Nothobranchius furzeri: one gene and its partners. The protein of the gene in region 3 purifies or fractionates together with the protein of the main gene of each other region. This does not show direct contact. Links are inferred from orthologs where the notes say so. Each region holds a gene or a part of one and is shown on either strand. Other genes may lie near its edges.

What was found.
Region 1: the proteins of snrpb2 (region 3) and snw1 purify together in Homo sapiens (affinity purification with mass spectrometry; 3 studies listed by BioGRID and IntAct, with this or other methods). This does not show direct contact. The link is inferred for Nothobranchius furzeri from reciprocal best matches to the Homo sapiens genes SNRPB2 and SNW1.
Region 2: the proteins of snrpb2 (region 3) and rbm17 purify together in Homo sapiens (affinity purification with mass spectrometry; 3 studies listed by BioGRID and IntAct, with this or other methods). This does not show direct contact. The link is inferred for Nothobranchius furzeri from reciprocal best matches to the Homo sapiens genes SNRPB2 and RBM17.
Region 4: the proteins of snrpb2 (region 3) and sf3b3 purify together in Homo sapiens (affinity purification with mass spectrometry; 4 studies listed by BioGRID and IntAct, with this or other methods). This does not show direct contact. The link is inferred for Nothobranchius furzeri from reciprocal best matches to the Homo sapiens genes SNRPB2 and SF3B3.
Region 5: the proteins of snrpb2 (region 3) and sf3a1 purify together in Homo sapiens (affinity purification with mass spectrometry; 5 studies listed by BioGRID and IntAct, with this or other methods). This does not show direct contact. The link is inferred for Nothobranchius furzeri from reciprocal best matches to the Homo sapiens genes SNRPB2 and SF3A1.
Region 6: the proteins of snrpb2 (region 3) and snrpe purify together in Homo sapiens (affinity purification with mass spectrometry; 3 studies listed by BioGRID and IntAct, counting the BioPlex papers as one, with this or other methods). This does not show direct contact. The link is inferred for Nothobranchius furzeri from reciprocal best matches to the Homo sapiens genes SNRPB2 and SNRPE.
Region 7: the proteins of snrpb2 (region 3) and sf3b2 purify together in Homo sapiens (affinity purification with mass spectrometry; 4 studies listed by BioGRID and IntAct, with this or other methods). This does not show direct contact. The link is inferred for Nothobranchius furzeri from reciprocal best matches to the Homo sapiens genes SNRPB2 and SF3B2.

Annotation. Positions count from the first base shown.
Region 1 is NC_091742.1:20,654,240-20,657,739, reverse strand, and holds part of snw1 (SNW domain-containing protein 1), read right to left. Parts: intron 2,356-3,500; coding exon 2,260-2,355; intron 1,962-2,259; coding exon 1,855-1,961; intron 1,762-1,854; coding exon 1,657-1,761; intron 349-1,656; coding exon 279-348; intron 177-278; coding exon 111-176; intron 24-110; coding exon 1-23. UniProt on the Homo sapiens protein: Involved in pre-mRNA splicing as component of the spliceosome. As a component of the minor spliceosome, involved in the splicing of U12-type introns in pre-mRNAs.
Region 2 is NC_091741.1:60,738,436-60,740,645, forward strand, and holds the end of rbm17 (splicing factor 45), read right to left. Parts: coding exon 2,172-2,210; intron 753-2,171; coding exon 649-752; 3' UTR 501-648; downstream 1-500. UniProt on the Homo sapiens protein: Splice factor that binds to the single-stranded 3'AG at the exon/intron border and promotes its utilization in the second catalytic step. Involved in the regulation of alternative splicing and the utilization of cryptic splice sites.
Region 3 is NC_091746.1:29,739,999-29,743,980, forward strand, and holds the start of snrpb2 (U2 small nuclear ribonucleoprotein B''), read right to left. Parts: upstream 2,801-3,982; 5' UTR 2,700-2,800; intron 2,245-2,699; 5' UTR 2,236-2,244; coding exon 2,172-2,235; intron 1,743-2,171; coding exon 1,570-1,742; intron 1,138-1,569; coding exon 1,003-1,137; intron 838-1,002; coding exon 802-837; intron 729-801; coding exon 640-728; intron 1-639. UniProt on the Homo sapiens protein: Involved in pre-mRNA splicing as component of the spliceosome. Associated with sn-RNP U2, where it contributes to the binding of stem loop IV of U2 snRNA.
Region 4 is NC_091744.1:81,791,440-81,795,671, forward strand, and holds the start of sf3b3 (splicing factor 3B subunit 3), read right to left. Parts: upstream 2,801-4,232; 5' UTR 2,687-2,800; intron 1,922-2,686; 5' UTR 1,876-1,921; coding exon 1,806-1,875; intron 1,599-1,805; coding exon 1,443-1,598; intron 1-1,442. UniProt on the Homo sapiens protein: Component of the 17S U2 SnRNP complex of the spliceosome, a large ribonucleoprotein complex that removes introns from transcribed pre-mRNAs.
Region 5 is NC_091757.1:36,509,305-36,513,563, reverse strand, and holds the start of sf3a1 (splicing factor 3A subunit 1), read right to left. Parts: upstream 2,801-4,259; 5' UTR 2,586-2,800; intron 2,567-2,585; exon of another isoform or gene 2,476-2,566; coding exon of another isoform or gene 2,452-2,475; exon of another isoform or gene 2,398-2,451; coding exon of another isoform or gene 2,222-2,397; intron 2,132-2,221; coding exon of another isoform or gene 1,963-2,131; intron 1,875-1,962; coding exon of another isoform or gene 1,710-1,874; intron 1,634-1,709; coding exon of another isoform or gene 1,464-1,633; intron 1,389-1,463; coding exon of another isoform or gene 1,311-1,388; intron 1,228-1,310; coding exon of another isoform or gene 570-1,227; intron 482-569; coding exon of another isoform or gene 331-481; intron 251-330; coding exon of another isoform or gene 3-250; exon of another isoform or gene 1-2. Other genes in the region: ccdc157 (coiled-coil domain-containing protein 157), read left to right, coding at 3-250, 331-481, 570-1,227, 1,311-1,388, 1,464-1,633, 1,710-1,874, 1,963-2,131, 2,222-2,397. UniProt on the Homo sapiens protein: Component of the 17S U2 SnRNP complex of the spliceosome, a large ribonucleoprotein complex that removes introns from transcribed pre-mRNAs.
Region 6 is NC_091743.1:2,213,663-2,217,852, reverse strand, and holds the end of snrpe (small nuclear ribonucleoprotein E), read right to left. Parts: intron 3,142-4,190; coding exon 3,063-3,141; intron 704-3,062; coding exon 648-703; 3' UTR 501-647; downstream 1-500. UniProt on the Homo sapiens protein: Plays a role in pre-mRNA splicing as a core component of the spliceosomal U1, U2, U4 and U5 small nuclear ribonucleoproteins (snRNPs), the building blocks of the spliceosome.
Region 7 is NC_091742.1:75,394,453-75,398,706, forward strand, and holds the start of sf3b2 (splicing factor 3B subunit 2), read right to left. Parts: upstream 2,801-4,254; 5' UTR 2,758-2,800; coding exon 2,628-2,757; intron 2,234-2,627; coding exon 2,187-2,233; intron 2,066-2,186; coding exon 2,015-2,065; intron 1,688-2,014; coding exon 1,457-1,687; intron 961-1,456; coding exon 891-960; intron 798-890; coding exon 700-797; intron 1-699. UniProt on the Homo sapiens protein: Component of the 17S U2 SnRNP complex of the spliceosome, a large ribonucleoprotein complex that removes introns from transcribed pre-mRNAs.

The DNA of each region.
Region 1 (3,500 bases), on a different chromosome or scaffold from region 3:
TTATCAAGGGGGATGGTGTAACCCTGAACAAGAGCACATCAAAGGACTTGAAATCTACCCACAGCTGTATTCAGACTAAACCAACCAATGTTCCCGGTGAGTCTGCTCACCTTAGCGTTCTTCCAGTTGGAAATACACGGAGGAATCTTCCACTCCTGCTGCTCTTTGACCGTCATCTACAACAAAGTAAGAAACTCCATCAGAAGCAGCCATAGCTAGCTCATCTTCATTTGCTATGTAGCATCAACAACCAGAGGGCTTCCAACGTTTTAGCTGACCTTTCTGCTTGGAGAGTGCATGACCGGGGCGGGAGGGGAAGGGGGTCCTCGAGGAATCTTCTTATTGATTCTGAAACGCACAAACACTCAAGTTAATTCAACAATCCAGGGATGTCAACCAGACGATGCAGAACTACAGAGAAACACGGCTTGGATCAGGAAAGTTGAAGAAGCAAGTTTAAAGTCTTGTGTGAATTTCTACAGACATGCTAGCCGCGTTCCGCTAGGACTGCCGGTACCCGTCAGCTTCCTCTGGAGTGCCACATGCCAAAAAGACCTGATAGGACTCTTTCTTCAGCTTGACAGCATCCCTAACCGCCGGTGTCCACCAGCGGGTTCGGGGGTTGCCATCACGACAGGCACCGACGATCCTGCGACCACAGCTCCGGTCGGCCGCCTCAACAATGGAGGCTCGGAACAGGGTCCATTCAGACTCAATGTCCCCCGCTTCCCCCGGAACATTTTGGAAGTTCTGTTGGAGGTGGGAATTGAAGACAATCCCAGCAGACCCTCGCGATACTTTTGGGCCGGTCTGGTCTGACCGGCATCCTCCCCCACCATCTGAGCCAACTCACCACCAGGTGGTGGTCAGTTGACAGCTCCGCCCCCTCTTCACCCGAGTGTCCAAGACGTGCGGCCGCAGGTCAGATGAAACAACAACAAAGTCGATCATCGAGCTGCGGCCTAAGGTATCCTGGTGCCAGGAGCACATATGGACACCTTTACGTCTGAACATGGTGTTCATTATGGACAATCCATGACTGGCACAGAAGTCCAATAACAAAACACCACTCAAATTCAGATCGGGGGGGCCGTTCCTCCCAACCACACCTCTCCAGGTCTCACTGTCGTTGCCCACGTGAGCGTTAAAGTCCCCCACCAGAACGAGGGAGTCACCGGAAGGAGCGCTTTCCAGCACCCCCTCCAAGGTCTCCAAAAAGGGTGGGTAGTCTGAACTGTAGTTTGGTGCATGAGCACAGACCAAAGCCAGAACCCGTCCCCCCACACGTAGGCGGAGGGAGGCTACCCTCTCATTCACCGGGGTAAACCCCAACGTACAGGCACCAAGATGGGGGGCAACTAGTATGCCCACCTCTGCTCGGCGCCTCTCAGTGGGAGCAACTCCAGAGTGGTAGAACGTCCAACCCCTCTCAGGGAAACTAGTTCCAGAGCCAGAGCCATGCGTTGAGGTGAGTCCGACTATATCTAGTCGGAACCTCTCATCCTCACACACCAACTCAGGCTCCTTCCCCACTCATTAAATGTTTTTTTGTGACAACTCCAAACTGAAATATATTTCCTTTAGACGACATTTGCTGCCCAACTTAAATCAACACAGAACAAAAAGTAGATCACCATTTCAAACCGTCTGACTTACTTAAAACGAGGAGGCTCCATCGGATCTTTCTGCATCTCCACCATACGGATAACTCGCTGCTTGGCTCCTGAATTAAAAGCCACCCCCTGCTGGGAAGGAGTGTATCTGAAGAAGACAACAATAGCACATGACTAATGTCAATAGAACTGTTCCTAACACACACACACACACACACACATGTTCAGCTTCACTACACACCTGATGTATTGTGCAGGAGCTTGTTTGTCTGCGGCTCTGACGGGCATGGCAGCTGCGATCTTCTGAGACACTTGCTTCTCCAGGGCGGCACGAGTTTTCTCCGTCAGCTACAGAGGAGGAACAGGAACATTTATCCAGTTTATCATGATTACTAATGAGAATAAAACAAACAAGACACAGCAGCGGTTTGCCAGTGAGATGAAATAAAACTTGCAGATAAAGGATTCAATGGTTCAAACAGCCTGTAAGATTCTGGGTTGCAAATAAAAGGATTACTCCAAATAAGAAATAACAGCTGAGTTAAAGCTCGCCTTTGATTATTTAAAGGTAGCATTAATGCATTAGTAATAAATGAAGGATAGAAAAACAGAGCTGCATCTTCTAACATGTTGTATGACATCGTACCTCTTGAACAGCCTCCTCGTCTGGCTTCTGCAGGCCTTGTGCATCTTCATGAAGGATCTCTTTGGGAAGCAGGTCGGTGTACTTGCTGAAGATCACCTGCAATAAGGAAAATACATTCAGTGTTGAGAAACTACAAAGGAAAGCTCACAACTAAAGCCTGATTTATGCTTCTCCGTCTGCGTCAGTGCGGAGACACGCGACGCCATTATCCGTCCTTGCGTAGGGCTCCGGCAGACACGCAAGTACGTACGGAGTCGAGCCCACTTTTTAAAACATCTGTCGAACGAGACGGATTACGCAAGCTTGTGATTGGTCAGGACGCCGCTGTTGTTTACAGCGCCGCCATTGCAAAGAGAGCCGAGGATAACTAGCGGCAGACACGGAGAAGCTTGAAGAAGACCTCGCAAAAAAAACTAAAAATATGAACGTTTCATTCTCCCGTGATTGGAGGAGTGAAAAGATGCGCAGCAAGCGTTTTATTTGTGGACGGAAATGACAGGAAACGTGGGTTTAGAGGTGGGCAGCGCATGAAGCGGTGGGAGAATGACAGACAAATATGTCCGTGTTAAAAGTCTCTTATATACACAAAAAACACAATATAAACACACGATCTTGGACCAATACATGACAGGATACCACAGAACAGCGCTACGCCCTCTGTTGTCCTGGCAGGGAATTGCTTTGCAACACTCTCCAGGAGACGGAGAAGTATGAAAGCAAAAAGCTTCCATCAATCCGTGCGTGTCTGTCCCTTGCGGCGCTGACGGAGAAGCATCAACCAGGCTAGGGCTGTCGCGGTTGAGGAATTCCCCCTGCGGTGATTCAGGGTGGCTTAATATTGCGGTATGCGATATTATTGCAGTCCTTTTTTTATTGCAGTACTATCTAAACATAATGTTTACACATTTAAAAAAGGTTAAAAATTGCCGTGCCTTCTTTTATAACGCTTTACTGAATGCAGCTCAAAGGGCAGTAACAACACAGATCGCAGTAACGTTTGTTTGTCCGACAGTCGGAGTCCGACTGAACTTAAAAACAACAAAATTCAGGAGAAGGTTAAACTTTTAAATGCAAATTTAGCTGCAGCATCTAACAAATAAGAAACAAGTCCCCATTTTGTTTAGTTGTTTAAAATCAAGCATAAAAAATTGCATGTACCGGGCGCGCGCGCGCCGGGGGGCGGGCGCACTATCATTTCACTTTCACACACACACGAATGACGGTGATTTATAGCTCGGTCA
Region 2 (2,210 bases), on a different chromosome or scaffold from region 3:
AGGTGATTAAGCCAATCAGTAAAACGTTTCTTTCGTAGGGAACCCAGCAGATTGGATCGAGTCACTGACAACAGCCTGGAGAGATAAACTGACTAGTCTGATTTAGCCAAACTTTTACGTTTTGGTTTTTCTGTCATGACTTTGATCTATTTCTTCACATTCCAGCTTCAACAATCAACCTGTTTCGATGATCTGAATTAAAGTGTTCCGGTGGGACGGCGCTGTTGAGGAGAACCCCCAGGGTCCCTTACATAAGGTTTGAATGAGGCTGAGGCTCACTGTCCTAGTCCCCTTCCTATATTCCAGCAGAGCTAAGTTGGGACTCACACCCTGGAGACATATTGAAACAATCACAGAAAGAGCATTATGTAACAAAATTCAAACAGGGAAACTGAGTTTCTTGGAAAGTGGGAGCTTCTGTCTTAGAGGATGTTTACATGACAAGTCTGGTTTTTGTTTCAGAATAAAACACTGATGAATAACACAGGCACAACACAAGGTACAACTTACACCTTTTATTTTCTCTCAACATGGAGGTATTTAACAAAAAAGACTCAACAGACACTAATGTTTGGAAAATATAGAAACAGACAATTTTGTACACATGAGAAGCTGAGGACAGCACAAGCCGATGTTCTTAGGGAAACATCAGACCTGCTCACCAAGATCCAAAACCCGAAACTTGTCTAGATTGTAGAAGCAGGCCTTGACGACTCGTCCTCCAAAATAACGTCCATTTAGATCCACAACAGCTGCAGAGGACACAGATGTAACATCAGACTACATGAGAGAAGCCACAATAATTTCAGATTTAAAAAAGAATAAAACATAGAGGAGTTTAAGTATCTCGGGTCTTGTTCACGAGTGAGGGTAGGAGGGATCGGGAGATCGACAGGCGGATTGGTTCGGCGTCTGCAGTCATGCGGACGCTGAGCCGATCTGTCGTGGGGAAGAGGGAGCTGAGCCAGAAAGCCAGGCTCTCGATTTACCGGTCGATCTACGTCCCAATCCTCACCTATGGTCATGAGCTTTGGGTAATGACCGAAAGAACGAGATCGCGGATACAAGCGGCCAAAATGAGTTTCCTCCGTAGGGTGGCCGGGCTCAGCCTTAGAGATAGGGTGAGGAGCTCGGACATTCGGGAGGGACTCGGAGTAGAACCGCTGCTCCTCCGGATCGAAAGGAGCCAGTTGAGGTGGTTTGGGCATCTGGTCAGGATGCCTCCTGGACGCCTCCCCGGGGAGGTGTTTCGGGCATGTCCTGCCGGCAGAAGGCCCCCGGGTCGACCCAGGACACGTTGGAGAGGTTACATCTCCAATCTGGTCCGGGAACGCCTTGGGGTCCTGCCGGAGGAGCTGGTGGACAAGGCCGGGGAGAGGACGGCCTGGAGCTCCCTAATTGGGATGCTGCCCCCGCGACCCGGACCCGGATAAGCGGAGGAAGATGAAGACGAAGACGATAAAACATAGCCATAAAGATCCAGGACCCAATTATTACTGGATTAAATCTACAAACACATGAAAAGTAGTTTAACAAAAGACTTGTCAACAATTACACTTCTCTGTTCTACTGACTAACATTAAGGCTAAATACGCCATCGGCAGTGATTTTAGGGTCATTCGATGTCAGATCATCTCGGTACCCATCCCCAATCCTGTGTTTCATGACCCCTAGTGGGGACCTGACCTCAGCTTTGATAACCGATGACAATAATACAAACTGAACTGTAAGCGTGGGTTAGACTAGACAGAAGGAATAAACCTGAGACTTAAGTGGGGAATGAAAACAAAAGAACCAAGTGGTAAAATAAGTTGAAGATTCTATTACCGCCATGATCCTAGCATGCATTAAGAGATTTCTCCACTTAGTAACCCTTTTTGTTGACAAAACCAATCTTGTAGCATGACAGGTTCTTTAACGGTGCGCCCTGCTTTCAGTAAGCTGTGATGTAAGACCGGTTCTGTTGGTGCCGTGGGGAGACGACTGGGTTGCTAGGCCACATATGACATAACACCACAGGGAACCGAGTCTCCCCTTGTTTCAGATCTGGGCCAACTCATTTAGAGAGGGACACACTTTCACCCACATTATTAGAGCAGCTACACAATCATGGGAAGAAAGTGAAGCAATTATGTAAAGTTGATCTCTTATATGTGACGGTGAACACTGACCTTTGATGGCCGACTCGACCCGCTCAAACTCCAGAAATA
Region 3 (3,982 bases):
CCACACAGTAACGTTTTATAAAGTAAAGCGACCGGAAGGCAGTACGTTCTTTATTCTGAAAATCTCTGGAGCTTCTCTCCGTTTCCGCGTCCGATTTCCTGTCTTTCCTTCCCCAAAAATGTCGAACTTGACCCGTTTCAGAGGCGTCGCGCGTAGAAAATAGAACCGGCGCGTAAAGGCCGCGACATGCTGCTCCTGACACGCGGCCGACTCGCGCTGCCGACGGCTCCGGTGGAAAAGGTTCTGTTGACCACAGCGGTTCCTATCAGCAGCTATGACGTGCTGCTGCAGTAACGTGCTGCTGACGGCTCCTGTGGAAAGCCGGGGTAAGGGTACGGAGCCAAAAACACAACTCCAGGAGTCAGCAGTTGCTCCATAGTTCTCCGCCACGCTGCCCAGAGCCGTTTCTGGGTTCAGTCTGACAAAAACCATCACCGTCATTGTTGTTTCTCATACAGATCTCCTCTAGCTCACCCCCATGACAAATCCTGAGCGCCCTCCCCACTCTGCTGGTTCGATTCAGGTTCTGATTCTGCTGCGAGTCGCAGAAACAAAAGAATTCTGACTTTTGGAACTAAAACGACTCAGCTGGTTTCAGGTGGCTGAGGTTCTGGATGGAGGAGGTCATGTTGGACTCACTGGTTAAAGAGCATGGAGAGCATCATCTCATTGGTCTCTTCTGGAAGGTTGGTGAGGAACAGGATGTGGTTCGGGGGATTGTCTGGAACCTGAGAAGAAAATAAATAAATAAATAAAAGGTTTGAAAGCTCACAGGTATTGTAAAGATGTGGGTTTTCTCACCTGAGCAGCAGGCGTCTGGACAGGCACAACTGAAACCTGCAAAGGAACACAAGTGAATCATAAACCTTTACACAACATTTTGGTGTTCTGATGCTGGTCAGCAGGGTTTGGACCAACAGGGCCAGAACCTTTAAAATAACCTCAACCCAGAAGAGTCGGGTCTGGGTCAGAGAAGTCACACGAAGCAGAAGCAACACTCACCGCCGATGGTTTCTTAGCGGCATTTGCCGCCTGCTCCTGAGCCTTCTTCTTCTTCTCCTTCTTTTTCTCCTTGTCACTAAACGTGCCCTTCATCTTGGAGATGACCTCCGAGTCGGTCTTAGCGTACTGGATCCTCTGAGAAAACACAAGACCCGAGTCAGACCTGCAGCTCTGAGAGGGCCCACAACCCCCTCTGCTCCTGAGACAAAGCCAAGCTGCCGGTGGGTTAGGTTAGGCAAACTGTTAATGTTCTCATGTGGGAATTTTGCTTTTGTCACGACAGAAAGAGGACAGTCAAAAGGTAGGAGCAGCGAGTTTACAGAACACTAAAGTACAATAAAGACATTAAACCGCACCAACACGGCACGCTTCACCAGTAATGGGAAAAAAATTCACGCTAAACCAGAAACACTCAAATAATATTGCACACAACTAACAACTAGTATGGTGCATTGGATGCATGTGCTATGTGTATCATGTGTGTGTGTGTGGTTAACTGGGAGGTTGTTATTTTACAGTCTGACTACAGAGCAGATCAAAAACTGGAAAAGATGACAGTCTGCGTACCATGGGTTTGTTATAGAAGGGGAAGCCCTGTAGTTGCCTCAAGGCGTTGGTGGCAGCGGTGAGCTCTTTGAAAATGACGAAGGCCTGACCCCTCATCTTCTCCGTCTTCATGGCTACGATATCAACGATCTGACCAAACTGGGAGAAGAGCGCGTAGAGAGAACGCTTCAGCTCTACGGGAGGAAGGAGACAAGAGATGTGCCAAGATGGGTGAATCCATGAATGTTAATTTTCAGTGTGACCTGGGTCTGTCTGGGCTTTGGAATCCCAACGTTTCCCCGTCTCTGATCTGTTGGCAGCTAACTTAGGAAACAGAAGACTATTTTCCAGTTCAGCCTGTATGATTTCATTTAAAAATTAAAATGAAGCTGAAAAAAGAAAAACACAGTTTATCAGTTAACTTGGTGTTTAAGCAGCAACATGTTGACTGACTTGAACTTTTATTCTTTTACAAACGTATCTTTTTAAAAGGATTTAAGCCTTAAAATTGTTGTTTTTGCTTGGTATGTTTATATTGTGATGTTCTCTGTGCAAAACTTTAATACTCGTGTCTAGAGAGGTGCTCCATAAATGTAAATTAATGTAAAATCAGCTCAACTCACCTTCCTTCTTCACCTTGTCATTGATGTTATTGATGTAAATCGTGTGATTTGGCCGGATGTCCATGATAAGTGTCTGAAAACAGGAGAACCCATAATAATAATAATAACAATAATAACAGTTGATCAATGGGACGGGCTGGTATCAAATTTCGGTAATCTGGGGGATTTCGAAGTACAATTAGATTTTACTTCAACTTTTTGAACTCAAAATCTCTTGTTTAAATACCAAAATTATCCTAAACTCAACTATACGCGAATGTTAATAAATGTATATGAATGTCTAAAAATAAAAACACCGGTTTTTAACAGCGTGGGATCAGGCTGATGAAAATTAAGTTTTTAATTTAAGATTTTTCAGTTTGAAAACATGTTAGCATCAGCTAGCTCGGTGGCTAACAGATCCCTTTCTGACGAAGTTCTAGTCAAACAAGCATCGCTTTTACATAAAAAACACATTCATCTGCTCCCATGTCGCGTTACTGATAAATAAACTTGTTTCAAACTAAGTTAAATGAAGGAAAAACTCACCTTTTCTGGTCACACCTGAACACACACTACGATTAGCGCCCCGGTGTTTCACCGGATGTGTCACACCGGATATGAGCAGGGGGGCGGTGCTTATTAGGACCCACTTTTAATGAGCGGATGTCCTATTTATTACAATTTTAACGAATATCCGAATAACTTTTCACTTATGCTTACGCTCTTTTTGTGCTATCTTACATTTTTTAAAACAATAATTGATTTAAACACGTTTTTCTTGACCTATTTATCCACATTTATACATACCTGTAAATGTTCTAATACGAAACGGAATTATACTCAACAAAGTTTTGCGTCGAGTAACATTCAAAATTTTAAATGATATTATCCAAATAACTTTCTACATGTTAGATTTAACTGGATGAATAATTCATGTGGTTTTTGTGAAAATAATATTGAAAATGTAGAACATATTTTTTTTAATTTAATGTGAGTGTGTCAAGATCCTGGTTCTGGTCTATAGGGCCTTACATGGACAAACACCATCTTACATTGGTGATCTTCTTAGTCCCTACACCCCCAGCAGGTCCCTGAGGTCCAGTGATCAAAGCCTACTGGTTGTGCAGCACCAGGCTAAAGGTCAAAGGTGACAGATCATCTGCTGCTGTGGCCCCCAGACTCTGGACCTCTCTCCCCCTGAGCCTGAGATCAGTGGACTCAGTGGTCTCCTTTAAAAAGCAGCTGAAGACTCACTTGTTCAAGCTGGCTTTTGTATGACCTTCTTCACCTCTCTCTCTTTATTCTGCTCTCCCCACCTATTCCACCTTCCTCAGGATCCACTGATTTCCCCCTTTCCTATTCACTCTCTCTCTTTCTTAACATTTTTTCTTTTAAATCGCAACATCTTGCTCATTTTAAATATATTTTAAACATTTTCGAAATGCTTTTTTATATTTTTACAATTTTTATATTTTTGTTTTTGTTTTTGTGAAGCGCCTCGTGATTTTTATCTTGAGAGGCGCTATAGAAATGATATTTTCTTCTTCTTTTCTTCTTCTTCAAATATTTCTGGTGTTCTGTTCACACTTGGTTGTTGTCTAAGCATGTCACAGTAAGTCCGTTAAACTGGTTGCTATAAGTGGGGTTGTTTTTGAAAGACAAACATCAAGATTTCTTGGTAAATGTTTTGATTTAGCTGGGAAAACCTTTTATACACAGATGTAAATTCCTCAAGGTTAAGCCTCATGTAAGCGGACGGAAAAAGGATTTGGAACTGTTCAAGAAAAGTTTATATTATGTGGAGAAGAAAGATGCCCAGAGACTATCTT
Region 4 (4,232 bases), on a different chromosome or scaffold from region 3:
GCAGCAAGGAGGAGCAGGCAGGACAAGGTGAAGTTACAGCATAAGTTACTGAGTTTAAAATTAGAAAGGTAGCAGTGGATGTAATGCTTTTTGGTTTACATGTTTCAACAGCATTAAGATAAATGAGTGTTGACGATCTTGACAGGGTTTCCTCCAGTGCTTACTAGGCCAGATTTTCCTCCCCCCACCAGGCTAAGCATCACTTATTCATGTATTTTTTCATGTCTGACTTTAACCGCATCTAATATTACGGTGTGAGCGCAACAGCGACAACTTAAGATCGATGTGTGAGCAGCCTGAGAGGTCGGGTGTTTTCATCTGAACCCTTAAAACCTCCAGCAGGCTACGCTGCACTATTGACGTGTTAGCGTGCGGCGCTAACAACTTAGCGACGTGACATGTCTCGGAGAAAGCGTAAAAACACGTTGGACGCTTCTTCTGAAGCGGGAAAATAACACCTCTTCTTAAGCAGAGCACGACGTCGCCTCGGCTCGTTCACGACCGAGCCGGACTGAGCTCGATAACATTGACCCAGCACAGCCACTGGGTCGTTGGAGCTGCCCCGTGACTGCCTGATGGAAAACCAGCGGGTTTCATCAGACTCGTAAAGTTTCTTGTTTTTGCTGGGGACCCCCTGTATTTTACCGCTCCCTCCTGCAGTCTTCCCCTATTAACATTTAAAATGATTCTGTAAATTCCGTGTATCAATAGAAAAAATCTCTGCCTCTGCCAGCTGCAGTAAATGTAGTCTCCAAATAATAAACAAGAGGTGCATTCATCTGTGTATCTCCTTTGATCCGCATTAGTGATATTCTCAGCAGCAGAACAGTGAAGCAAAGAAACAGATTCCTGAGTTTGTTAGTAATTTTATTTATTAGGTGCATCTGACCTGTTCTATATTTCTCTGAAATGAGATCAAATTAGTGCTTCTATGGGTTGTCTCCACTCTGCACTAGAAAATTTCACTTTATTTAGAGACGTGTCATAATTTCTCGCCAAGCCCCCCCCCCCCCTGGAAAAATTCCTAGGGGAAACACTGTGCATACTTATTTTTTGCACAGGCATTTGTTTACTGTGAAGTAAAGCTGAAGTGATGAAGTTTTGAAAACTAATTTTGAATAAAACTTGAGGAATAACTGGCAATTGCTTGCTTATTTTAAGAGGTCTTTCATATTTTATAACATGCTATTTGATATAATGGTTTACAAACACAAAAGGGCCATTTATTAGAGTACTCGATTAATCGATAAAAGATTTGATAGAGTACTCGATTACAAAAATATTCAATAGCTGCAGCCCTAATTGTAATATTATTTTAGTTACTGTTATTTTAAACTGTACTTCATGTTATAAATATGATATACAGTCATAATGTCTTGATGTTTGTAAAATATTTATAAATACATGACACACATTTTTATTGTTTCCAGTCTGATGTGTACCTTTAGTTCCTCCGGTGAGTCGGAACGCCATCAAGGATCTGATGATGCCGAACACCTCCATTGTGAGGAGTGTGTGCACCTTTCCCGTGTTAGCATCCGGCCGCAATAACTCCAGGATCTTTCCTCTGGAAACAGCAATCTCCTGCAGCTTGGTTCCTACACGCAAACATTTAATTAACATGATTCGAGCTTTATAGGGTTAAAATTGTTTGAATATAGAAAAGTAAAACGTTTGGTCTGCACAGGCTGTGTCACACAGCGTTGGTCCTACACTGAAATAAAACATAACTGTTTTATTGAAGCCCGCACTTGGATAATCAAACAAAAGATACAAAGTTAAAAAAAAATCCGGAGGAAGCTCACCTGAGAAGTTTCCATGGATGGCGTGAGTGATGCCAGTGGCACGCTGCAGGGTGATGTTGTAGAGAAACATGGTTCCCTTTCAGGGTTGTTCCGGAGCAGCTCAGCCCGGCTCACAACTGCAAACAGGTGGTTAAATGCGAAAGCTCAAACTTCTACAGTCAACTGATTCACATACTAGATGACTCAGGCCAACAGCTTCTTTTTCAACAAATACACTCTAAATAATGAACTGCCTATGGGAATTTAGTTAAATGCAGAAGCTGAAGTGATTTCCACTCATGTAGTATATCAAACCAACTTAAACTAGTTCTTTCAACTATTTATAAAACCTTCCTAAAGGGAACGCATAAAAGGGCCAGATAACTGTTGGCACCACCTTTACCAGATGTAGTTTGACCTTTTCTATTCAGACAGAAGACATTTCAATAATTATTTTCACAATCCAACGTGCGTTTTAGTCCAGATCAGACCCGTACGAGTTAAACTGATTACAGCTGGAGCTGGTACCCGGACTTCTGTGGACCCCAATCCATCCAAGACGCTCTTTAGCTTTTCCTCCCAGCCGCTGAATGAGCAGACTTTAGCAATTTACTGCACGACGTGAATGTTTACCAGTTTGCAACTCCTCCGGGCTCACCGAAACCTCTCAGGATGTAACTTATCCCCATAAACGGTTTCCGTAGCTGTATATAGGTTATTTTCGGATAAACTCGGCCTGCTCACGGTAAATCCACAAGGTTTTCATACGAAGCGCCACTTCTTGCCAGCAGCATCCGCTTTTGTTTTCCTGCTATCCTACTAAAAAGCCTTTCATAGTTCACAAACATATCGTTCCTATTCAGACTAATACTTGTTTAAATTTTGAAAAATAAAAAATTTACCGGGTTATTTAATTAGATGATTGTGATTTCTGGTGGATTGAAACTCATCGGCTCGAATATTTCTCTGTTGCTTCAGGACAGCAAGCCTACGTAGGGCTTCCGTTTGTGTGGGTCCTTCTTTAACCGTGAAGCGGGTTTCATAGGTGACCTTAGCAATGCCTGATAGAAATAAAGTGTAGTAGCGCATGCTGTCCAGCAGATGTCAACAAAACACTTGATATCGCTTTATAAGTTTAGACAATAAAATAAATCAACTGTTTTGCTACACACTCAAGCGATAATAAAATATAGCATAACGCCGTGAAGGAAAAGGCTCAAACAATATCTGTTTAAGTTATAACGTGATTTTTATATCTAAAAATACAATATATTTTTGTCATTCTTTTCACATGAATAAATACTTATCACAATTCTACATTTGATTAATCTTCAAGTTATTACAGTAATAATATCATATTTAGATAACATGAAGAAAACACATTTCATGTCGTTAGTAATTATTTTATGTACCGGTATTTATTTATTTACATTTATTTATCCAGGTGAACTGCTGAGAACCACTTCTCATTTAAAAACATGACATGGATTATGAGAAGCTGCATGCTGCTAAATAGCAGATTAGGAAAGATGGAGGTCAGGCGAACATTTTCTCATCCCATCAGTGGGAAGATGCATTTGTCACCAGAGAAAAGATGTTCAAACGTAGAGGCAACTTATTTGTGTTAGAAAACAAGTTGGGGTTGTGACCCCACTGGGGGTCACAAAACTCCTCAGTTAGGGACTTGAGATAATCTACAAAAGTCAGATAAAAATAAAGAATAATTATTAATAAAGTATTTGACTATGTCAACCCAAAATAGAATAACCATACTGGTAGACCTATTTTTGTTTTGGTGAGGGTAAAAACTTTGGTTTGGTTTGGTTGTTCAATGAATCACACCGACACATCTGGAAACCACTGCTCTGTTAGCTGGGAGGCCTGTTTGTTTTGTATATAGTTCATTATTATTTGTAGAATAATTAGTCTGATCTTTTTCAATATATTTTGACAGGGGAATTCAAGCACCCTGACATTTTAGAATATTACTGCATTTTTTTTTGGGGGGGGGGGGGGGTTGTCATAGATGTATGTATTGTGAAAGACGTGGGATTGTTTAATTGTGAAAAGGAAAAACCGGAAGTTGCAGAAACTATTCCTTCAGGGGTGGGGGGAAGATACCTCCTCCTTCTCCTCCTGCCTGCTGGTTCTGAGCAGCACTTCAGTGGTCCTCCTCCCGAGTTGGACGTCTCGTGCCTGGTTCCGTTGGGAGGCAGCAGCCTCCTGCAGCTGCTCGACTCTAAGCGCATTTTTCTGCAGCCTCTCCTCCTCCTCCTCTGTGATCTCAGCCTTTGTGCACCCAGAGCGCGTGTGCGCGTGCGAATCACGCGCTCACATTGAAATTCAGACAGCGTGGCTGCGCGCCGAGAGCCTGAATAATCATCCGCAGCTCCGAGCCAGATTCCCCCCAGCCTGCGCAGCGAGGTGAGCCTTAAATCTGCGTTTGGA
Region 5 (4,259 bases), on a different chromosome or scaffold from region 3:
TCATGAGTGAGCTGTTAGGTAGTCAAGACTGCATCAAAAGCCTCCAAAAAGATCTGGCGGACATCCAAGCAGCCATCGTGGACGTCTTTTCCAGAACAGGACCGGTCAGCTTTACCTCTTGGAAGTTCCCTGACAAACTCTCCTGTAATGTGGACATGTTGGCTCTGCTGGAGGAGTACGACTATGTAGACGGAGAGGATGCCTTCAATCAGCACTCCCACATTGTTTTACTGGAATTAGTGATTGACAGGTAATAAAATGTGTTTTATATGTTATGCATTGTTACCAAAGTAATTCTATTAACATTTGCCTTTCTCCTTTTCTAAAAAGATTATTGCTACTTCTACAAAGTGTTAGTGTTTACAATGAGGTGCCGAGAGGCAGACAGAGAGGAGAGCAAACCCAGCAGACAACATACTTGTCAGTTGGACTCGTGGTCAAGAACTACTGTGGGAATTTACTCCTATCAGCCAACAAAAAGGTAGTATTAATGTTAGAAAATACAAAATACTCTAAAAATTGCATTTTAAATGAAAGATCTGGATACTTTTATGCTTTCTTTTTCACAGGAGCCCTTTAAAGATACAAAGCCATTTGACTCCAACAACACAAATATGGTGCTGTCCAACCCTGCTATAACTAGCTCGAAGACTGAACTTAGTAGCTTTTGTGCATCTGCCTTGTCTTCAGCAAGCTCATTTGATTTTGTCCCACAAACTAACAACACTCCATGCTATCCTAAAGCTGAGCAGCATCATGTGAGCTGCCAGACAACAAGTTCGTCCCTTATTCCCTGCAGCGCTTGCCATCAGGTGCAGTCCCTTTTGAGAAACACGGGAGATGCATTGATAGATCTGTTACAGAGTGAGGGTTTGCCCTCATCTCTGCAGCCTCTCGCAGCAGCTATGGAGGACATTGTGGGTGACATGACATCAGGCGATGTAGCCCAGTGGGCCGAAGAGCAGCTCCGGGACACGAGCCGGCTGACCAAACATCTTAAGGATGTCCAGGGTACTGTGCAGCCTCTTGAAGAAAGAATTGCCGTAGCTGAAATGGAACGTGACAGTTTCAAATCTGAGCTGGAAAGTGCACAGAAACAATTCAAGCAAGAGCTGGAAAAACACCAAATAAACTCTGTCCAGCTGGAGTTTTCTCTACGGAAAGCACAGAGATCCTCAAAAGAAACAGAGCAAAGGCTACAAAAGGAGCAACAACAGCTGAAGAGAGGTAGTTAACACAATCGGTTTTATAACAAGAATGTATTGACATCATAGTTTTTACTATAAATATTTTTCACATTTTTGTGACAGAAAATATGTCCCTGGAGGAGACTAATAACAGACTAAAGGAGAAAATAGCACTGCAACATGACAGCTTACAAGTGCTTGGTAATGAGATGCAGATTCTGTCATTCAACACATCTACAGTATGATGCTGCATAATGACGATTCATTTGCTGGTAGAAACTGAAAAGAAAGCACTCCATGAGAAAGTGAAGAACCTGCAAACAGAGAAAGAGGCCTGCTGCAGACTGCAGGAACAGATCCAACAGCTAGAAACTCAAGTTTCTGATGCTACATTTCTTCTTGACAAGGAGAAGGCCAAGTACAGGAGCGCCTGTCGTCAGCAGGAGGTCAGTGTCACTGTAAAGGCCAGCATAGCTATAAAGGGGATCCTTCACACTGTTTTCAATATAATTGTGTATCCAGTCAATGCTGGCAAAGCAAAAGTCGTTGCTGGAAAGAGTTGATGCTCTCGATGAAGAGTGCGAAGAGCTGCAGAGGGAGCTAGGAGAGAAAGAGGAGGAACGGATCACCTTACACAATCAGATGTCAAAGGTGGAGGAACAGCAGGCTCAGCTCATGCAGCAGCAGGTATATATGTGGCCTAAAATGCAATACAATTGTACTGTAAATGGCCTTAGTTATAATAAAGTCTGTTTTGTTCTTGTTCTTCCATCAGAATTTGTGTGAGGAGCTCCAGAAGGAGAAGCAGACATTAGAAGTAAATGCGGATGAGTTGAAAAAGCAAGTGGCTGACCTGACAAGGCGTGTGGACTCTTTAAAGGAGAGGGAGAGACTGCTGGTGGCTTTCCCAGAGCTCAACAACTGGTCCCAGGCCCAACCTCAGAGTAGGTTGCTACTGAATAACATTATCTGATTATATTTGATTAGATTTATTTCCAGTATAATAATAGCACATGACTTTATTTACATTCTAGGTACAGGAAACTTGATTTTGGATATGGAGCAACAGCTTCAAGCAAACAGAATTCGTATAAAAGTGATGGAACAGGAAAATGCTACTCTGCACAAAAGTCTTGAGAAATTGAAAACAAGAGCTCAGCAAAATGCCTGCAGGGTATGGATGTACACAAAGGAGTTTCATGTGAAGTAGATCATGCACCGTTGGGATTATTATAACTCATTTGTAATGTATGTGTCTGAATAGGAACCTGCACCTCTGCAGACATGAAGCCAGTTTTATTCCTTGGAGTTTCATGTAAAAAACCAGATCAACGTGGATGCAACTGACTAAATAAAAACCTTATTGTTGAAAAAACTGAGCTGACATGTTTTACTTGCCTTTATTAGAAACAGCGTTGGTTGCTTTATTAATCCTCGTCAGTGCTGCATTTCCTGTTTAGAACACGTCAGCATAAAGGTCTCTGAGCTTGTTCTCTCTGTTCCCAAACTTCATCTTGTGATGTGCAGGAAATGCGGGGGTCAGTGAAGATATGCAAATGATTCTGTTGCGGCCTTTTACCACCCAAAACGAAATAATTCCAACAAAAGGCCATGGGTGGCAACCAAGCCCCCACAATGCCGCTCAGAAAATGGTCCCATCCCGGAAGTAAGAAAAATTGCAGTTCCACCCTCATCCGCTGGGGGCTGGTGCCAGAAGCGAGCAAATCCTCATTGACTCCCATGTTAAAAATGCCGATTTCACAGCAGAAATAAACATGTTTACAGCCTGGTGCCAAAACATGTTTTTTGTCTAAATTATCTAGTTTATACTCATGACAACTCTGAGGGGGGTGAATTTTTTTCTCACTCTTCTGTTTAAGTGTATTGAAAGCCTAAAATTCTGTATAATTAATGAGCATCCAACACACGTGACCGCCGCCTCAGACCCACGTGACCACAGAGCTAGCTCCGTGGAAAGGCCTCAGTACAGCCTCGGTCTGGCTTGGAAACTGCTCCGGCATTTTGAGTCTCTGTGTTTGTGTATTCTTCTTTGGATATTATTGGTGCAATTGTTGGACAAAATGACTTGCAGTGGTATTAATTGCACTAATAGAGCGTCCAAGGAGTCTCCACTTCATTTTTTTCGGTAAGTTAAAATCTATATTCGTATTTTATGTCACTGCTACCTTTAAACTAGCTGAGTTTACCGAAGTAGCTAGCTAACTATCAGTTTAACATGTAGCATGTACTGTTTAACCATGAAATTTAAATGTAAAATACGGTAAAATAATTAATAGGGCATATTTAGATGGGTAATAGGGTAAAACCCAGTGCATTTAAGATAAAAATGGGTTGAAATATGACGGAGCGCTAAGAGGGAGACTTCTGTGTCCATTCTTCCATCCGGTAATCCCCAGCGGTCAGGCCGGGCAGCCTGGACGATCCGGCGCCTATTTGCTGCGCCTAGCTGCTGCGCGGTCTGACCGCTCGTGGAGTTTTTCATGTCTGACTTTAACCGCATCTAATACTGTATTACGGCGTGAGCGCAACAGCGACAACTTAATATCGATGTGTAAGCAGCCTGAGTGGTAGGGTGTTTTCATCTGAACCCTCCAGCAGGCTATGCTGCACTATTGACGTGTTAGCGCGCGGCGCTAACAACTTAGCAACGTGACATGTCTCTGAGAAAGCGTAAAACACGGACGCTTCTTCTGAAGCGGAAAATAACACCTCTTCTTAAGCAGAGCAGGATGTCGCCTCGGCTCGTTCACGGCCGAGCCGGACTGAGCTCGATAACATTGACCAAGCACAGCCACTGGGTCGTTGTAGCTGCCACCAGGCCTGCTGAAGGAACTCCAGCGGGTTTCATCAGACTCGTAAAGTTTCTTGTTTTTGCTGGGGATTTCTGTATTTTACCGCTCCCTCCTGCAGTCTTCCCCTATTAAAATTTAAAATGTGTAACTTTATGTATTGTGATGAATGACTAATATTCATGTTAAACTGAAACGTTAGGCATTTAGGGGGAAAAAACAAAATAATAAACATTATACAGATGTCAAATAAATCAAACTG
Region 6 (4,190 bases), on a different chromosome or scaffold from region 3:
GATAATGCTGCCGCTGTGAGCTGCAGGCTAAATATACCATCCTCCTCCATTAGCTGGCGGGCTAAAATGGCTCAGCCACTCCTAACGGATGTCATGGCTGAATGAGGGAATCCATCCCAGTTGCTCATACAGAACACAAACATGAGACACGCGCCAGACCAAACCACGAACACCGTCACGTTAAACCCGCACAAACCAGACAAAATTAACGAACCTACCGTGGGACTTAGGTGAGTTGCTCCGCCGGGCGTTGGCAGCTTCGCGCTCGGGGTTTCCCAGTCAACTGAACAGGGGCACGCTGCGTACGTACTGAGGTATTACGTCATCCCGCTGAAACAACTCCCTTCACCGAGTCTGCCTTCAGCTACGAGCCCGAGTTCTGCTTCATTTATTCATTTACTAACATGTGCACCTGTGTACGTGGAGCAGTGCTCCGTCACACCGTCACCAGCTGGAAGTGTCGCTCAGAGACCTTCTTACACTTAGACAGCAACACAAACTGAAAGAAAACACTTTATTTTCAAAACTGTTCAATATGGTTGAGGAACAATTAAAATATCCATGTAATTAGAACCCAAATAGCCCCAAAATGGAAAAACATTTGCTCGGAAAAAAAAAAAAAAAGAGTCACTGGCATCTCCACGTCTCTAGTTGGACACACTCTGCAGCAGGGTGATGTTGTCTCCCTTCAACATGATCCTCCCTGAGACACAAACAGACGCAGAAGCAGACAGGTCAGTTCACAAAACGAGAGACAAAGTGTCCGTTTACACAAATCAACATGGAATCCCCAACACCAGGAATTCTAGAGCCTCAGTACAATCACAGGGTGGCAGCAAGCCGCTCAACGGGCCGCCCTGCTGGACCCAGCAGGAGCAGCTTTACAGAGGGTGTTCCTCATACACACACACACACACACACACACAATAGGGCTGGTGATATGGCCTAAAATTAATATCACGATACATTGAGGATTTCACCTCGATAACGATAAATGGACGATAACTACAGGTGTGTGCAGAGACCAAAGTTGTCCACTAGATGGGGCTGTCACATGTGTTACATTGGTCTTGTTCGAGATGAGCCAGTTCTGCGCAGATTAGATCACCGGTGATCAGCGAGCAGTGCTTGCCGGTTGTCCGATTTGACGCCGACTTGCTCTGACGTCATGCCTACGTAGGCAGCGATAACCTCGTGAGATCAAGGCGGCTGCAGATTTTGAAGCAAGGCGCTGCAGTTGGTCTCCATCAGCTGCAAAACCTAGAGGACGGAAACGCCTGGCTCTCACCTGATCTAAGATCTGATTGGTTCATATTCTGATCCAAACATCCGGTGGTAGAATGCGAAATGTTAAGTCACATGTATTCTGTAAATCATGTTACGTTGATGATGCAGTAGGATTATTTCCAGCTGTGTGTGTGTGTGGGGGGGGGGGGGGGGGTGGGGGGTTATGACACGTCTCACCTTCATGTTAATATTGTTTTATTTGATGCCCTCCACTCTGAACTGCACCAATCCAGCGACTGCTGCATTTTAATAACTAGTATTAAAGGTGAATACACCAACATTTGCACAAGAATAATTTCTGTTTTAAACTCTCAGTGACACACTTTGCAGGGGGGGGGGGCATTTAATTTTACTTGGCGTCTGGAAAAACATCTCCTTCTGCCCCCCTTTATTTTGGTCCAAGACCATTGGTGGGCTGGCCCTGTTAAACACCTTCTACACCCCTGCTTAGTAGACTTAATGAAGTATTTTTAAGCCAGTATAAAAATGACTGAAACACAAATGTACATATTTAGCATTATTGACCAATATCTTTGATTTAATTTATTGTTAAGAACATCAAGATGCATTACAGTGAACATTATAATAAAGTACATGTTTCCAGTGCAGAGAGGAGACGACCCATAGAAGTACTGGTCTGATCTCATTTCAGAGAAAACTAGAACAGGTCAGATGCACCTAATAAATAAAATTACTAACATAAACTCAGGAATCTGTTTCTTTGCTTCATTGTTCTGGTGCTGAAAACATCACTAATGTGGATCAGATACACAGATGAATGCACCTTATTTATTATTAGGAAATGAGTGGGTGTGGTTTACATCAATACATTATTTTACATCTGAAATTGATATGGATTGATCAGAAGTTGATATGTGTGTATTGTTTATTTGAAAACTATTTACAGAGCAGCCTCAGAACTGAGATTAAATATGTTTGATCACAATAGTAAAGGAACTATTACAGAACACGTTGTTCAGTAAAATCAGAACATTAATGTTTAAGTGCATGAACTAATGCATCTGAACTCATGCAGTAGGAACTAGGAAATATGAGATACTAGAACATTTTATTTTTATTTGATTTAACTGATTTTTCCTAACGTTGTTGGCATTTTTCCCCACACACACTTAGACAAAACGATGATATACTTCCTAACAAAATCTCTTCAGCTTCATCATCAGAGTCTGACGACCATGGCTGTGTAAAAGCTTCATGTTTCCTGAAGCCCTACTGGAGCTTTGGGAGCCTTTTCCCTGGTGAAAGCACGTCATTCTCCTTGTTTAGAGGTGCTTCTACCTCTTCACTTCCAGAGGGGTTGCCTCCAAAAGTTGGTTTTCCAACGTTTCCTCAGAGCCTGACTTCTTCTTGTCAGCACCAAGTTGCCTGATTAGAGCTCCTTACATTCCTCCTGCTGCTTGTTTGTTTTCTGAAGCTGTTGTTGTCTTTCCTTGCTAATCAGGAGCTCGAGTCAGTCCTTCCACCTTTTTAGAGTGTTTTACGGGATTTTCTTATTCAATGATGGTGGAATATTTTTCTCAATACCCGGCTGCAAATCTTCTCCAGCCTTTGATCTTTTTCCCAAAGAAACATGTCAAATGTGTGAGTTTGGTGTTCTAGCGCTGCTTTTGTGAGAAGAAACCATCAGGCACCTGCTTAGGTTAAGTAATGCAGGAGAACTGCCTGTTTGATGTGAAGAAAATGGAGAATCAAACTGAAGTCATAATTCAACCTTCTCTTAAATCAGTTTAGCCCTAGTCAGCATGCACTCTTACCCAGTGGCTTTCTGTTCTTGGTCTTCATGTGGATTTCTTCAGAGTCATCTAGAACCAGGTTCATGTATTCATCAAAGCCCTGAAACATAAGCAGAGACTCAGACTGAAGCAGAGCAGCACTTCACCTGGTCACAACTCTTTAACTCGTAGTGGGATTATCTCTACAAGGCCCATCAACCTGGCCGTGTTTAAGATCACATCAGTTATGGTCGTACACCGCCCGGTAGGACCGTCACGTCCGCACGACCAGGTTCTCAGCTCGGTGTTCAGTTTCAGACATCCCATAAAAACAATACTAGCTCATCACCATGAAGGTTAGTCTGCTGGAGAAAATACACACAAATGCACCTTCCTGAGTGACTGAAAACCAGAGCTGTAGCAAAGCTTCGATGACGCCAACGTCAGATCCGGTAGTCGACGCACCGCGCCCACTTGTTGCATCCCCAGGAGTTAGTAAGTAGAGGAGGAATCTGCCTGTGTTTCCTCTAGTTCGCCTTCACTAACATCTCCGCCAAATACCGAAGACCCGGAACAACGTCCGTCCGCTACTAGATTCCTTTCCTGTTTTGCCCGCCTTCGTCTCCCGGCAACGGACAACAACTTCCGGGGTCAGATGCGCTGCTCCGTCTCTACCGCAGATGTAGAACATCACCGGGAGCGTTTCTCCCTTCATGAAGGAGCTTCTTTCAGACATTAGGAGAGCTGTTTTGGTGGTAGCAGTCTCTCCTCCCTACTGAAAACAGCCGTCTACTCAGGGTCTGAAATTAACACTCGCCACTCGCCAAATGCGAGCAAATTGCTCCATTTGGCGAGTAAATTTTTGAGCTCTACCTGCCACCTGGCGAGTAAATGTTTGCACCAAATTAGTTATGTTTATCAGTCATCTTCCATGGATTTCTGATCCTCCTCCCGCCTGCATGCAACGTACACAAACGTACGCGAAACGTGAACGCCGCATCCAACGTCATTTCCACCTATCCCATTCAATCAGTTTATCAAGTTAGCCGTTAGCTTCGTGTTAAAACTAGCGGTGAAATGTGGCGGTTTTTAACTGGAGTCAGCCAGCCTTCCAAAAGAAAACTCGTCGAACTGGAAGAAAACCACCAGGACCAGTGGCAACCAGAAGAT
Region 7 (4,254 bases), on a different chromosome or scaffold from region 3:
CTCAATATATAACCATATTTGATAAATATCACGATAAATAACATACAACTGTTTGTATTTTAACGTCGTCCTTGTAGTTTTATAAGCTGATGATTAAACTGAAGCAAACATCTTTACTGTGAACTAAATTTACTGTGTATCTTCATTCCTTTTACCGTCCTTTTTCAATTGATTTTTCCTACTGGGAAGTTAGAATTTCTGAGGAGAAAGCGAACGCACCATTAGCTGATAACAACGGTGGCAATGGAAGCTAACATATCAAGCTAACGTTATCTTAAACAGTTTATTTAACTGCTGGAGCAGATTAAAACGATGATGCCTCACACTTAGATCGTTGTCGCTGGTTTCATCTTCACCCAGTCACCCGTCGCATTTAGTGAAGTGGACCCAAGCTTAAGCGTTCGTTCGTTCTACCATGCTGCTCTGTTTACAACTGGCTCGCAGCGACCGATGACTTAACGCTCTTGCGCATGCGCAGCTGTCTAGGCAAGTTCTCGTTGTGAAGGACGGGTACCGAAACGAGACACCGTTTCAAATTAAGTGAATCGGTGCTCGGTCGGTACTATGGAATTTGGTCGGTACCTTAAAAAGTACCGAATTCGGTACCCATCCCTAAAAGCAGCATGACGATAAAATCTCGTGTTTAAGAGCGTAGGACTTCCATGTGCAACAGGAGAAACTCCGTTTCAGTCTGTTTACCTCTTTGTCTTCTCCTGGAGGGGGGGGCACCCTCTGTTTCTGGGAGGGCAACAACGTGACACCAGGAGGAAGCGGCCCACGAGGATCCAAGATAGAAACTGAAAAAGAGTTTTGAAAAAGTGGTCATTGCTGTAGAAACTGGACTTACATGAAGTTATGTGTTTTTATTTGAAATAACACATTAGACTGACCAATGGGCAAAGACCTGGGCTGCAGCTTGGCCATCTCCTGCTGACGCTCCTGTTCCAGCAGCACAGCAGCCTGGCACACGCAGACGGGGAGACATAAATACAAGGTGAACATGTAGGAAGTGCAGATTAAAGATAAACCCCTGAGTTTAGTTAAAGCTCTGCTCTGGATTGTTGGCTTCTATTCAGCCGATTACCTGCAATTAGACAAGAAGCAGATGTATATCTAACTTGGCCACTAGGTGGGGAAAAGGCTCTTAAAATCATCACTTTGCAAAGTGAAAGGTTCATTCTGTTAGAGCAAACGGGGCCTTCAGCTCCCCTAAATATTAAACGGAACATCTTTGCCTTTTCTGCTGCTCTAGAAGGTCCTGTTCACCTCTTGTTGTAACCAGAATGAGCAAAAATCCACAATTCACAACAGGATTTTGCCTCAACTAACCCAATTAAAAAACTATTTCTGATTTATATTTTGTTGTTTCAGCGTCCCACAATCTCCCAAATGCATAATATTCTTAGCGTGTAGTGTTCTAAACCAACAACGGAACATGATGGTCTGAGGGCTTCACCTGTTTGGCTCGTTCCTCCTGTTGGAGAACCATGGCCGCCCTGTGCTGAGCCATCTTCAGCTGGTCGTCCTGCGTCAGCGCTGGAGGCAGCAGGGGTCCGTGCTCCATTCCTAAGGGTAAACCAGGAGGAGGAGGACCTCCAGCGGGCATCATGCCCATAGGCTGGAGCATTCCGATGCCAGGGGGCATTGGAGGCATGGGTAATGGGGGAAGAGAAGGTAACCCTGGCATCTGGAGGAAGAAGGAAGTAAATTAAAGGCAAACACCCACTGAGCCATGAGCTTAACTGAACCTCAGTTTTCACAAGTTTCATTTGTTTGTTTTGTGATAATGTGGTTAAACAATTAAATCTAGTCTCTCATCCACCTGTGTTGTTAAAATCTATACAGTGCAGTGATCACCATGGCGACTCTTGGTTTTATTTACTGCGTTTTTTGATGGTTGCCAGAAATATTGTGATAACACAAGAAGACATTTATGAAAAAAAACTCTAAGACCAACAGAAAAGTGTATCAGTACATTAAACAGTGACGTCACAACAATCTGATCAGTCCTTACCTGGACGCCCATTGGGTTGTCTTCATTTGGTTTGCTGAGGATAATTCCTGTCTGTAGGACAAAAACAAACGGGCAGATCCAGTAGATAAATTAGTACTAAAACAAGTTTCTTTAGGAAACAAATCGTGATGAGGAAGTGGAAAAACCAGAATCACATTTCTAAAGCGTTTACCTGCATCATGTAGCCCTTCAGTCTGTCAATCAGCTCCTCTCTGGGACCTGGATGAGAGAAAATAACTGTTAGACAACAAGGAAGTGATTCCAGGAGCGCAAGACAAATTCGAAGTTTTACTGATTCAATAAGATACAAACAGAACGCTACACTGCGTAAATGCAAAGACTTACGCTCAAAGTTAGCAAAATAAGCTAAACGTAAGATAAATACGTTTAAATAGAAGACCCAAACCAATCAAACGTTTAGCTGTTGCTTTAAACGTCACAAATCACGCAGGTAGATTCACTATGTTGTGCTCTAGTGAATGTAAACACACGTAGAGTCTGTAGTTGGCCTACTTTAATAATGCGTTACCAAACTGCTAGCTAAAGTTAACGGAAGGCTAATACCTGGTAGCTAAATTCATTGTTCGATGAGTGCCCTCCAAGTATTTCTTACCCATATTTGGTGCGCCCAGGTCAGCCAGCTTGGCTTGAAGCTCCGGATTGCTCCATGTGTTTAAAGCTGCGATTGCACCTCCTAAATCAGGCGAAAGAGAATCGCTACCCGTTACTCCGTCGGATGCCATGTTGAGCTTCTCTCAATGGAACAACGGCGGCAGCGGAAACAACGCGAGAGTGAGAAGAAGATTGGACCAATGCATTGTGGGAAACGTGCCACAACGTTAAAAAAAAAATTCTTTTAAATTGAACTTTTTCATTTACAATTAACATGGCATAAATTCCTTTGTTTTACATTACCCGGGATCAGGTGCAAAAAATAACAAAAGAGACTTTGCATAGAACGCAAGAATATTTGTGAACGAAACGAACAAACAGAAAAAAATAAATAAATAAAAAAGAGACAAAGAGCTAGGGCTTTGTTTTCAAATCATACTTTTCAAAAAGATTAAGGAGTTTCATTGCATGTTTACTTTTCATAAACTTAAGGGCTTTGGAGAAAGAAAGACACTCGTTATGAAATGCATAGAATCTGGCTTCACATTTCCATATCTACATTTGTGAATGTAAAATTTAGCTACAACGATTATGTTATTTACCAGAAAGTCCCATTCAGTGTTATCTAATATGGCACCGTAAATGACATCGTTCTCAGAAAAGGGTTCAATAGGTATCTTTGTGTATAGCCAGTCATGGATATCATTCCAGAGAGCTTCAGAGAAAATGCAGTAAAATAATAAATGAACAGAGGTTTCTTTATCATCACACCATACACACTTATTTGTTTCGAAACCACATCTCTGTCGTAAGAATTCCCCAGATGGGTGTACGTCATTTAAAACCCATGCCCAACTAAAAAACGTGTGCTGGAAGTTGGTTCATGTGGCCACGGGATGTCAGTGTTGGCACAAGAGAATTTATTAACAAAAGCGAAACTTTTTAGTTTCATTTTTGAAATTTGGTTCACGAATTACAAAATTTAAAAGTAAAATGTAATCAAAGTACAGCTTTTTTTCTTAATGGTCATCTTGCACCAAGAAGGTTGCTGGCTTAAATCTCAGCTGTGCGCATTAGATGTGGAGTTTTAATTGTCGTATTGTGCATGCACTTGAGCAATACTTTGTCAAGAAGACACGAACCTGGTGCCCAAGTGCTGGTGAGCAAACTGCCTCTCCTCCCCTTTCGGTCAGCTCATAGGTCCCCGGAGCATAGAAAAAAACGAATACAAGTGAACAAGGCTATAAAATCTATTTTCTAATCTGCTTTGCCTTACGCCCTGAAATGCACATTTTTGTACTTCAATTCAAATGAAAAGTATTTATGTGTGTTTCTGTGTCTTTCAAATATTTTGAGATGTATTAGCTTGTAAAAATTTGTAATTAAAACAGACTACAAATCAGATGTTGCATATATGATGTCACCCCAAAATCTCTTCGCCCACAGCGTAGGTGCTACATAACACATGGTCAGATTTATAGTGCTTTTATCCATGCATAATGCTCATTTAATGCTCCACCATTGGAAATCATGGTAAACAAAAGACGTTTGAATCTAGAAATAGTGACTGGGTGTTTGGCGCTCTCTTGTTTAATGTGGCAATGCATGTTCCCCAATCAGGAAGACTT